Linked DNA regions of Tamandua tetradactyla. The protein of the gene in region 1 binds, or shares a complex with, the protein of each later gene. Links are inferred from orthologs where the notes say so. Each region holds a gene or a part of one and is shown in the gene's direction. Other genes may lie near its edges.

The links.
Region 2: the proteins of TLE6 (region 1) and OOEP are in contact, whole or in part, in a cryo-EM structure (PDB 8H94), measured with the Mus musculus proteins. The link is inferred for Tamandua tetradactyla from reciprocal best matches to the Homo sapiens genes TLE6 and OOEP. Residues at the interface, in NP_444484.1 of Mus musculus: Trp256, Ser258, Phe304, Thr305, Arg306, His307, Val318, Asn320, Val322, Asn323, Glu332, Ser333, Asn354, Ser355, Arg356, Leu373, Ala374, Ala375, Pro376, Ser377, Leu378; in NP_080756.1 of Mus musculus: Arg32, Pro33, Trp34, Trp35, Pro37, Gln39, Glu40, Glu67, Trp70, Met71, Gln73, Gln94, Pro95.

Annotation. Positions count from the first base shown.
Region 1 is NC_135337.1:79,425,366-79,431,989, reverse strand, and holds the start of TLE6 (transducin-like enhancer protein 6), read left to right. Parts: upstream 1-3,062; 5' UTR 3,063-3,184; intron 3,185-3,740; 5' UTR 3,741-3,749; coding exon 3,750-3,824; intron 3,825-4,476; coding exon 4,477-4,562; intron 4,563-4,998; coding exon 4,999-5,044; intron 5,045-6,104; coding exon 6,105-6,146; intron 6,147-6,624. UniProt on the Homo sapiens protein: Component of the subcortical maternal complex (SCMC), a multiprotein complex that plays a key role in early embryonic development.
Region 2 is NC_135331.1:129,283,885-129,289,710, reverse strand, and holds OOEP (oocyte-expressed protein homolog), read left to right. Parts: upstream 1-2,670; 5' UTR 2,671-2,683; coding exon 2,684-2,963; intron 2,964-3,185; coding exon 3,186-3,365; intron 3,366-3,758; coding exon 3,759-3,838; 3' UTR 3,839-4,014; downstream 4,015-5,826. UniProt on the Homo sapiens protein: Component of the subcortical maternal complex (SCMC), a multiprotein complex that plays a key role in early embryonic development.

The DNA of each region.
Region 1 (6,624 bases):
TTCTGCAGACACCCAGGATTTTTTTTCTTGCTTGCTTTTTTTTTTTTTTGAGATTCATTTTTTGCCACTTACCTGAGATCCATCTGTTGAAAAGGCTCTTCCTTTTCTCCGCCCCCCCTTTTTTTTTCCACATGAGCAGGCACCAGGAATCAAACCTGGGTCTCCAGCATGGCGGGTGAGAACTCTGCCACTGAGCCACTGTGGCCCGCCCTACTTTTTTTAAATGTAATTTTATTGAGATATATTCACATCCCCTATAATTGTACGATCAGTGGTTCACATGTTATGAATCTATATAATACATAAAAATAACCTCCAGGATAACCTGTTGACTCCATTTGAAATCTCTCAGCCACTGAGACTTTATTTGGTCTCATTTCTCTCTTCCCCCTTTTGGTCAAGAAGCCTTTCTCAATCCCATGATGTCAGGCCCCGGCTCATCCCAGGAGGCCTGTCCCACGTTGCCAGGGAGATGCATACCCCTGGGAGTCATGTCCCATGTAGGGAGGAGGGCAGTGAGTTCACCTGCCAAGTTGGATTACAGAGAGAAGCCACATCTGAGCAACAAAAGAGGTTCTCTGGGGGTGACTCTTAGGCATAATTATAGGTAGGCTGAGCTTTCCCATTGGAGGAATAAGTTTCATAAGAGCAAGCCCCAAGATCAAGATCAAGACTGGTCCATCAAATTGGCATCCCCAGTGATTGTGACTTCTCCACATGGGGCAGTTTAATATTTCCACCTTTCATTTTTGAGAACCTCAGATCAGGACCGTTCAGTGGAATTGGGGGGCTGAAAACATTTTTGGATGAAAATATCCAGTCTAGGAGTCTCCAGCCACACATGGCTACTGAGCCCTTGCAACTGACCAGTGCAACTGAGGAACTCAGAAGTTTTAATTTTATCTCATTTTAATTTAAGTAGACACATGCACCCAGTGGCTACCACTTGAGACAGTGCAGCTGTAGATAAACGGATGTGCTGGGGGAAGAGGCATAGAGGGAGGCAATTAGCAGTTGGTCCATAAATAAAATACACTTCAATGAAGGACGGGTTGAGGGATTGGGGGTGAAAGGCTTTCTGTATCTCCTACAAAACAGCTCTCACTTTCTCCTCCATACACCAGCCACAGAACCCACAATATTACATGTTTACATCATAACCTCCGGGTGCTAGAAGGGTGTGGTGAGTGAGGAGAAGGAACCAGGGGTGGTAGTGATGGCTCTGGATGAGAATCCCACCAGCATTACATTGATTTTGAACACAGGCCGGGTTTAGAGCCATCCTGTGAAACCACTGTGATGTATCACAAGGTCAGCTCCAATCCAAATCATACTGGAGAAAAATAAAGCAAAAAAAGGAGACTAAGGGGATTGGTTTTTTTTGTTTTTGTTTTTTTTAATAGGGATCCTCAGTGGAGGATTCACTGAGGAGGTGACCTCTGAGCACAGAGCTGTAGGAGGTGAGGGAGCAAGCCAGTGCAAAGGCCCTGGGGCAGAACTCTGGACAGACCAATTACCATCTGCAATAGGCATTTTAATATTGGCCCAAAACAGAACTCCTGAACCCCATAAATCCCACTCCTATACCCACAGGAGGCTTCCCTGAAACACACCCCTCTGTCCTCACCTCCTGTTATCATCCCTTCTGGAGTTTCTTTTTTGCCCCCATCCAGTCCAAACCGAAGTGGTCCAGTTATTCCCCACTTCAGAGCTTTAAAAAAAAAATTATTATGGTAACATCCACATATTTTCATTTTAACCCTTTCCAAGTATATGATGCATCTATGTTTATTACATTTGCAGTGTTGTTCTACCATCAACACTAGCCCTTACCAACTCTTTTCTATCCCCCTCAACCTCTGCACCTATTAGGCGTTCACTCCCCATTCCCCACACCTAACCCCGGACTCTACTTTCTATCCCTACTAATTTGCATCTTCTAGTTATTTCATGTAAGCAAAGCCATACAACATTTATCCTTTTGCATCTGGCTTCTTTCACTCAACATGAGGTCTTCAAATTTCAGCCACATATTAGCGGAGACTGGAAAGTCCTTCCTTTTTACTGCCGAATGATATTCCATCGCCTGCGTGGACCCCATTTTGTTTCCCCACTCATCTGTTGATGGACACTCGGGTGGCTCCCACCTTTTGGCTTTTGAGAAAAATATCGCTAGGAGCACAGCTATCTGTTCAAGTCCCAGCTTTCAACAGTTTGAGGGTATATATATATATATATATGCTGAGACTTGGGATTGCTGGCTCACATGGTAATTCTGTATTTTCTGAGAACGGCCAGGGCCAAACTGTGTACACAGCAGGCTGCATCCTTTCACGCTCCCAACAACGGCTGCAGGCTTTCTGCCCTGGCTTCTCCCTCTGCCTGGAACGCCCACAGCTCTTTCCCACCGTAGACTTCAACCTGGCCTGCCAGCCTGGAGACATCTGCTCTTCCGCTTTCTCCAAGGAAGGGCAGTTGGGAAAATTCACTGATAAAACGCCTAGCCCAGAGTTTGGCTCACAGGAAGCCGGGGATAAACCGGAGTTGTTAAATTCTCTCCTGAAAGGGGCTTGATCTCGAGGTGCTGAAAACCCCAAGCCCCTCATAAGCTAACCCCTGGCCGGACCAAGCAATCAGGGTTCTTACCAGATAATGCAACCTTAGGCCACCCAGCCCTTCCCCCAGTTTCACCCTCTGACCCCTAAACCCCAGCTCCCCACCCCCACCCCCCGCCCCTTTATAGCCCCACCGTTTGCCAGGATCCCAAACAGCCTGCGGCTCTGCACGCCACTCTTTCCCGCAGCGGGACAGCAAGGGTTAAGCGAAGGCTCGCGGCGCTATGAGTGACAGCCTGGCGGGCGACCGCGGCAAACCGACCAATCGGGCACGGCGGCCGCGGCCCACGTGGGCAATCGACCTCGCGATTGGCCAGCGCCTCCGGCGGTCGCCTGCGGATCCCGAGCCCACGTGCAGCTGCTGCTCATTCATTGACCAGTTTCACGGACCAGGTGGCGGCGGGGCGGGGCCCGGGCGGGGCCGGGGTGGGGCCGGGGCGGGCCGGGGCGGGGCCGGGTCAGGTCAAATGGCCCCCAGGGGGAGGAGAAGCTTTCTTTTGGCTTGAACTTGACCGACCCTTGCAGTGCCGTCCCTACAGCTCCTGCCCTGGGCCCCCACCCTTGGGGAGGTGAGTTGGTGGCCAAGTTTCCTGACTGGGGAGGAGGCTGGAAGGGCCTTGAAGGACACAGCGAAGTAAGGAAGGGGCTTGGGGCCTTATGAGTCATTAGAGGCGAGAGAGGTTGCTTTGCTCCTGCCTGTTAAGTTCCTCCCATCTCCGCTAGCTAACTCCTACTCATCCTTCAAAACCCACTTCCAAAGATCTTCCCTGCTTTGAAAAATTATCTCAAAACCGAGGTTTATTTGGTTCGTATTCTGGGCAGAGAGTCTGTGTGTCCTATCCCACATCATAGGGTGAGGCCCAGGGCCCAGTCCTTTTTGGGTCCCCACTGTTAATCAGGACAGCTGGAGGCACCAGAGAGCGTTTGATGAATGAATATAGGTTTTAGGAACGCTGTGAGGAAGCTGGAGGTCAGGGGAGGGGTTGGGGGTACAGGACTGTGTCCTGGAGAGAGACAATGGTGTGTGGGGCAGGAGGCCTTGGGACACGATGGGGGTTGCTTCTCCCCCTGGAACTGCTGGGATTTCTGCTCTCAGGGGACTTGCCATCTCCTTTTTCCTTTCAGAGTCTGAAGATGACCTCTCAGAGCCCACCCAACTCCCAGGGGCACTCTGATGGGGTCGTGAACGTCAAGACAGCGGGAACCTTGGTGAGGAAGACGTGGTTTGGCATCAGCAGGGGGGACAAGCATGGGAGCTGCGGGGGGGGGGTGTCTCAGAAGTTAGGGAACTAGGGGGATAAGGCCTCATTCATTTCTGCTGCTCCCGATCTGTGAATCCACCTGTGAGATGGGCTAATGCTAGCCATGCCTCCCAGCTGGTAGTGTTCACCCATCACTGGCACCTGGAGTCCCAGGTGTCAAGACACTTTCTTTTTTAATTAAATTGACTTCTGATGACACAGGTGATAAAACACAGGACTACATCATCCAAGTTCATATTTTACAAGCAGAAGCCTCCCTCCTCCAGCCCTTCCGAGAACCCACTTTTTCTAGCAGTTTAGGGCAGAGGTGCTCAAACTTTTCTGCAAAAGGCTGGATGATAGATAGTTTAGACTTTGTGGGCCAGGGGGAAAAATTAAAGCTATTCTGCTGGTACTTAAATACCGAGAGAGAAAGCCAATTAACTTCAGGTTTTAGAAGGACCTTCCTTATCTCTACGGGGGTGGGTCAAAATCCCAGGGGACTTCAGGGTAGCGCTAAGGAGGCATCAGATGAGATGCTGATGAGACCTGAAAGTCTGAGCGCCTGAAAATCTTCTTCAGTTCTACTGACTTTTTTTTTTTTTTTTTTTTTAATCCAGGCTGAAACTCAGTCTTCTAGTTCCAAGGACCCTCAGGAGCTGACAGCTTTGGACAAACTGGAAGAATTCAAGTTACATTTCTCCAGGTGAGGGCGATTTGAGGCAGCCCTGCATCCCACCAAAAGGGGAAAGGATCCTTCCTGGTCCCTATCCTTGGGGCCCTTATGGGTGACCCAGAAGCCTCTGGGTCAGTAAAGGAGGTAGGGGTGGGGGGGTGGGGATCTGGGGGACCAGAATGGAGCAGATGGCAAAAGGAAAACTCAGTAATACTGATTCTGGCTTTTATTTAAAATTTTAATATTGCATTCAGCACGAAATGGGTAACCTTACATTTGACACTGTTGGAAAATATTGCATTAAAATCTTATTTTCTTGATCACTGAGCTTTTGGGTGCCACCGTAAATTTGGCTCTTGGAGTGAATATTTGCCCTGCAGTTGGGGTTGAGTTGAGGGGCCGGGGGGCTCATACTCTGGGGCCTCCTGAGCTGCTGCTTCTAGTCAGTCTTTCTTCCCCCACTCAGGTTTTCCCCCAAATTGATGGCACAGGTGGAGAACATTTACTGCTTGGTGAGCCAGACCCGGCAATCCCTCAGAGCAGGTGATGTAAGGGGAGGGGGGAATGGTGCAGGTACCTGGGCTCCCAACAGGGGGCTGCTGCAGCCCCTGGGCCCTGAAGGGCTGACCTCTTTAGCTTCAGGAATCCTGTTCAGGGACTACTTCCACCTTGACTTATTTTTTGCTTACTGTGGGCAAGCGAGTAATGGAGCCCGCTTCTCTGGGTGAGTTTTTCCCTTTACTGACTTTGCAGTGAAAACTAGAAATTCCATATTGAAAGTGAGTGATGGTTCAGACCAGGTTGGATGTTCAGGGATACGGCAGATGTTTGGAGCACTGCTCTTCGAGAATCTACCCGCTAATGCAGGGCAGTCTTCTAGAACTTTCCACCACGATGGGAATGTTCCATGGTTACAGAGTTCAAATTGGTACCTGCAATCCATTTGAAATGTGGTGATACAACTAAGGATCTGAATTCTTAACTTGATTTAATTTAAATAGTTTCCCTTGCTAGTGGCTCCTTCGATGGACAGCACAACTCTAGGTGTAGGGGAGACAGACAAGGTAATAGAGAAACCAGTTTCACAAACAGGTAACAGGGGCGAAAGGAAAGATTTTCTTGAGCTAAGGTAGCAGGAAGGGTTTATCAGAAGAGGTGTTAATCAGGATGAGACATGGAGGATAAGAGTCGGCCACCCCTAGAAAAAACAGGGAATAGTGTATCTGGCAGAGGGACTAGCCAGTGCAGAGGCCCTGAGGCAACACAGAGCCTGGTGTGTTGGAAGAACAGTGAAGAGGCTCTGTGACTAGAGTGAAGGGAGTGAGCGCGAGGAAAGGAGGATGGAGAGTGGACTGGGCAAAGGGAGAATGTTGACCTTCAGTTCCTGTTGAGAATGAAGTCCAGTGGGCTCCCTGATTAACTCGGGGTATAACAGGTAAGAGTAGGGACCAGAGAGGCAGAGTGATTTGTCCAGGGTCACACAGCTGGGGAGAAGCACATGTGCTGCTGACACCCCAGACTCTTACTCACCTCCATTGACCACTTTCTGGCCTGATCCCCATCCTGCCACAGCTTCAGAAGATCCAAGACGACCTTCAGGAACATAGCAAGCAGGTAAGTTGAGTGTGCTGGAGCTTGGGGTTATGGCTTCCCCACCTTGAAAGGGAGAGAGTGATGGGGCAGGGTGCGCAGAGCCTGGTGGGCTATGGGATGGACTTGAGCTTTTATCCCAAGAGAGGTGGGAGCCATGGAAGGTTGTAGGCAGAGGAGGGACAGGCCCAGTCTTAGTTGCTCACAGGTGCCCTCTGGCTGCCTCAGGGAGAACAGACTATGGGAGGTGAGGGCGGGAGCTGGAGAACCAAGGTAGAGGCAACTTCAGGTCTAGGTGGTCAATGGTGGGGGCTGGACCAGGTGGAGGCAGAGAGAGGGGATGAGTGAATGGACTCTCATGAAAAGATAACATTTAAACAGAGCTATAGGGAGGGAGAGAGCAAGCCTTGCAAAGCTTTGGCCAAAGAGTGTTTCAGGCAGAGGGCATAGTCAGTGTAAAGGCCCTGAGGCAACATTTAAACAGAGCTGTAGGGAGGGTGGG
Region 2 (5,826 bases), on another chromosome or scaffold:
CAGTGAACCCCATCAGTAGTTGTAGTCAGCATTGTTAAAAAATGGAGCTTATGTCCTTGTGGGTTAGTGCCCTTAATTAAAACTGAAGCAGGTGTTTTCTCTTAAATATATTAAAAAGGACTTAAAAGGAAGTTTAGATAGACTTGTGACACACACAAAAAAAGTCATTTAATGTTAGCTAATGTTGGCTGCTAAATCTGTGGCCACTGAGTGTTTGATTATTACAAAGAATATCAAGGCAGTATTTTTGAGAACATAGCTGTGCTATTACTTATCTGTTGCAGAGCATCCCAGATTTGATTACACTCGGCCAACAATGTTGAGTTTAAAGATTTGGGGAAGAGTGGAAATGTTAAACATACTGCTTCTATGCTTGGAAAAGTAGAAGTCTGGAAGTGTTAATAATGCACATGTCACAATGACCTCCTCTACTGAAAGAATTGACTTATACCAGAATATTTTCTGGCACGTAGACAAGTGGCTTTGATGGGTTGATAAATTTTTGTAAGATGGGAAACTAAAATTTTTTTTATCTTTTCCTCCCATAATCCCATCTTTAATACTTAAAATTTTTTAGACCGCCAATGCTGATGTTCCATTACAATGTCCCATTAGATTTTTTTTTTTTTTTGCAAGAGCAGGCACCAGGAATCGAACCTGGGTCTCTGGCATAGCAGGCGAGAACTCTGCCTGCTGAGCCACCATGGCCTGTCCCCCATTAGATTTTATAACGTGCACAGGCCTTGAATTTTTTCTCACTTTACTTCAAAAGAAAGGTTGATTCATAACGTATATTCTCTTTTGTAAAATTCTGGTATGAAAGTCTCATCTCTCCAAACATACTATTTACAAAATGTTTGTGCACATTTATAATCCTAAATTCTTATTTGAGAATGTGAAAGTATAATAAACAGTCTTATCGAGTGCCAAGAATACAGAAAAGGAAGGTAGTTGATGAGTGAATATATAGAGTTCTAATCTTAAAACAGAAAAAATCTACAAAGACCATGCTGTTTTTCAAGCATCAATTTCTTAAGCAGCCCAAATCTAAGCTCAGAAGAAAGGTTTCATATTAAACACCTTTAACTTTCATGGATAAGCTTCAGCTTCCTCTTGCCAAGAGAAGAGTGCTTGAGTAACAGAAGGCATTAGTTTGAGGAACTTCACTCTTTTTATAAAATTCCAGATATCAAAATAGATTTTGATATGTAAATGAATTTTCTGGGATGACACTATAACCATTTTGCCTGGACTATCTAACCAGTCCTATGAATGTATCCCTAAATGTGGCTATTGAAAACAAAATAGCTGCCTCATGTCTAATCAAATGCATGGTATTTAAGGAAGGAAAAAATTAAATTTTGAATTGAGTGTGTAGGCTCCCTGTCATTATAGTTTTTTTCCACACTAGTCTATAACTTAACCTAAATCATAAATATGTGTAAAGGGTTAATTGTCCTGAATCAAACTTTTATTAAATAATTCCATCCGCTTAAGGAGGAGGTAGAAGCTGGACACTAATTCATGTACCTGTGAATCAGTAAACACTGAATGAGTGCCCCATGTTGAGCTGGTAATTTTGACACATAATAAAAATTATATTCTTGGAGGTAATACAATAAATGATTCTATTAACTGGAAGATGGCATAATGTGACCATACTTCAGTACAGTTTCTACTGTGGGGTGAATAGGTAAAAATTGTATCGTATGGTAATTGATTTAGGTGCTAAAGCAGAGAATCTGCAGATAAACTTATGCAATTTATAATTTGTTCAGAGTTGTTTTCATTTGGGTAAGGAAGTTCTGAAATATCCTCCAAAGCAGTTTACTTAGTAATTGAAAGTCCTCCAAAAATAGAACTATTGGGAAATCATTGTGCATTTACAACAATGATTTCCACTAGAGAGGGAAAGGGAAGATTCCTTCATGATAATAATTTTAAAGAGAGGCAAATGTGGGAGAATTTTGACATACGTTAAATTTGGGCGTGGCGGTGGTAAATGGGTGTTCTATTACTTTGTGCATATGTAAAACCTTTCACAATTTAAAATTTAATTAAAATTGAGAATACTGGAGAGAAGTGTCATCTGTAGAAGTTGTGTCTTAGGATGGTGGGAGTAAACGGTATTTGTCCACACCAGCTACGTTTTCTATAATGACTACCTCTGACATTTTATTTAAAACATGACACAGTTTTGCTTGAATGATTTCGAGATAGTAACCCTCTGGAAAGAGTCAGAAGATAATGGGGGCTGAGAGGAGAGATTTTACAGATTCAAGGAACCTGCTTCCATCCACCTGATCTACCTACCTACGTCTGGAGGGCAAGGTGGAGACCTTAACCTTGGCGATAAAGGTGATTCCAGGTCAACAAGGTCGCCAGTTCCACCTCGTATTGTTAATGAGTTACATGCTGGGGCAGGGACCTTTGAGGCTATGTGATACCTTACTAGGTGGGGCCGACAATGAAGAGCAAGGGAGACATGTTTGGAGTTCAAATAAATTCTTGTTGAAGGCCGAAGTGAAGCCTGAGTGATTGACACAGAGCAGGAGGCGCCTCAGGGCGCCCAGGTGGGAGCACCAACCTCCACGTGGCAGCTAAATCCGGAGGTCAGGGATGGGGGGCGGGGGGCGTGAGCTCTGCCGGAAGGGGCGGGGCTGGTCAGGAACCTTAATGCAGGATGAGGGGGCGTGGGCTTCGCTGGGGTCTGGACTCTCCTGAGGGCCGCACCGTCCTGAGCATGGTGGACGACGCTGACGCTGCCGGGGTCCGCGCTGCGGAGGCCCGTCCTGCTGAGGCCCAGGATGACAAGCAGGTGCCTGCGGCGTCCCACAGCAGCCTGCCCAGGTTATTACTCCCGGTGCCACGGATTCGCGTCCGACCGTGGTGGTTTCCCGTGGAGGACCTGAAGGACCCGCTGGTGTTCCACCTGGAGGCATGGCTGGTGGACCCGATCTTCGGTGGGTGACCGGGGGTTTGCTCCTAGGCTAGCCCCCACAGCTGGAGAGCGGACTGCAGAGCAACCCTGCGGCCGCCTTCTCGGACTCGCCTGCGCGCGTCTGGCGCCAGCCCAAGGACACCAGCCCCCAGCTGTTCCCTCGGCCCAGCAACATTCCCTTCTTATCTAGCGCCGCCAAACCCGCGACTGCCCCGCGGCTCACAGTCTCTCCTTCCCTGTTTAGGCGCAGACAGAGCAACCATTGCGAAGATTGAGTGGATGAGCCAGGCTCTGCTGATGGTGGACACAGTAGACTCGGAGGGCCTCGCCGAAATCACCGTCTTCGGCCGGCCGCGGGTACGGAACCGGGTGAAGAGCATTCTCCTGGGTCTGGCAGCGTTACACCGGGAACGTCGTTTCAGAGGTGAGGGTCTGGGCGAACCTGCATGTGGAGAGAGCCACGTATCTCCTTTCTGGACTTGCCTGGCTTCTTCCGGCCTCTCTTCTGAAAGTAACTCTTCAGAGTTTCCAAGCCCCAAGAAGCTGTACCCAGCTGCTGGGGATCGCTTTGGGAGGGAGCCCGGGGTAGGGTCTCGGAAAGGTAAGCAGAGGTCTGGCGTAATTGGGAGCCCGTCGCTGCCCAAGCCAACTACAGGTGGACTCCATCACCATTCCCAGATCCCGGTTCATGTCTCCACCCCGAGAAACGGTGTTGCCAGCACCTTCCCTTACTGCCACCTATTAACAAGTACAGTACAGTCTAAAACAGCAAGCACTTTTCCAAACTGGTGGTCGGCATCAATTGTTTTTCCTCCAGCTGAGAAGATGAAACGACTTGAGGACTTCTTAAAGTCTCATGCATCAGGCGCCCAGACTACCCAGCATCCTGTTGCTTAAGACAGAATGAGTATCCTCAGGAGTATTGTGAGCCAGCCTTCTGCTACTAAAGTTGAAGGAAAACAAGTATCGTTCAACTTTCATTCCAGTCTCCTGTGTCTCAGTGAATAATAGTTTGATTATTTTGGTGCAAATGTGAGTTTGTGTTCTTCCAATAAAGAAATGAATTTCCTTGCTTTTTTTGTCCAATGGCCAAAGATCTTTGATCACTTAAAGTTACTCCAATTTATAAAAGACTGACTCGGTTCATTTCTAGGTTTAGGTAGAAAGCTAAGCAGTGTCTTTTTTTTTCTTGTTTTTTCCTTCCATTTTGGAACTTTTATGGCTTTATGGTTATGGTCAGGCCCTCAAACCCAGGGGACAAAGATGCAGGGGCAGATGACCTCACAAATGGCCAGTCTGTTTTGGTGAACAAGACTGGTCTTGTTTTTTGTTTTTTTTTTTTGACCAAGCTGCCAGGTTTACTTGCACGCCTATACCCCCTCCCTTTCCTGTCCTGACTATCTTAAAAATAATCTTGCAGCTTTGGGATTGCAGAGAAAAACAGCTCTGTGTTTGCAAGGGGTGGGTGGGCAACAACTTCAGATCCTAACTTAGCTATTCTAAGTATCAGTCACCCCCTGACCTCCCTCACCTCTCTCCTTCTCACACCTGTTACCCAAGCACCTGAGAGGCTGTCTAGTTAGTTCCTTATCTCCCTCCCTCCTCTTTCCTTGCCTTCCAGGCTCCAGGAGACCTCAGCACAACTTAAATAGACCCCCTCACCCATCCCGCTGGAACCAGATAGTCCTAATTGCAATGTCAGTAAATCACTCACCAGGTCCCAGTGGTCAGCTCTCCATACTGTCTTCTGGTGCTTTTCATATCACCAATCCCAAGCCCTTAAAATGTTTGCAGGGTATTTCCTTTTACATTGGTTCTGAAACTTTAAAGTGTGTTAATCACTGAGAGCTTGTTGAAACACAATTTCCTAATCCCCTTCTCAAGATCCTGATTCATTACATTGTTGGGGGGCATTAGTTTGCATTTCTAACAAGCTCACAGGTGAAACTGGTGTTGAGATTCTCACTTTGAGAACTCCATTCCACCTTACTTTAGTCAGAACACATTAAATCAATGTTTAGTCAGGAACACATTAAATCAATGTATTGATTCATTGGAAATTTGGAAGCCTATTTTAGGGAGAAACTGAAAGGATTCAGTAACCTTTAAAGAAGCAAACAGAAGACCTTACAAGCAATTACTATCTGGAATGGATTTCTATTGGAAGTGAGTTATCCTTTTATAGATGCTGATTAAACTGGAATTAGAGTGAAGACCTTAGCATTTGAAATCTCCTCCTCAGAAATAGATAAATCTAGCCAGATTATTCAGATGACATTCTTTAAGAAGAGAGTTTGCTTTCTACACGAAAACATGGCTATTAGCAATAAACTTGAAACAACTACTAAATAGACGAAACAATATAATAAATTCATATTTAGTATAAGTCTGCTGTGAAGATGGGTAAACACAAAAGGAATGAAATGGGAAAAATGAAGGCAGTAGTGTCAGAGGAAGGGGAATGTGCATAAATGGTATCCCTTTTACCCACTTTCAAGCAGTGATAGCATTTTTAAAATACTCTTTTATGACAGTAAATACATATGATGCTGTAGTCACATCCTAAAGTCAAGGTTATACAGGAAAATGCCAAAGTCTCCAGACTACTGTCTCAAACCCACTCATTTCCTTATTGGTATTCATTTTTTTTTTAGTAGTTTAATTTGTGCTTTTACAGAATTGCATATACTTTTCTACTACCATGATTTTCCTCAGTATGGGTACCCTTTAACTCTTTCATTATTTGATTAGTTTTTTCCAGATTTCTCAACTGCACACAATGCAGTGCTGAATTTCTACTTCCTTCCTTGTGTCCACATTGAACTGTTGCTGAAGGAGCTTCCTAGAAGTGGAATTGTGGGTTGAAGAATGAGCACCTTTAAAAT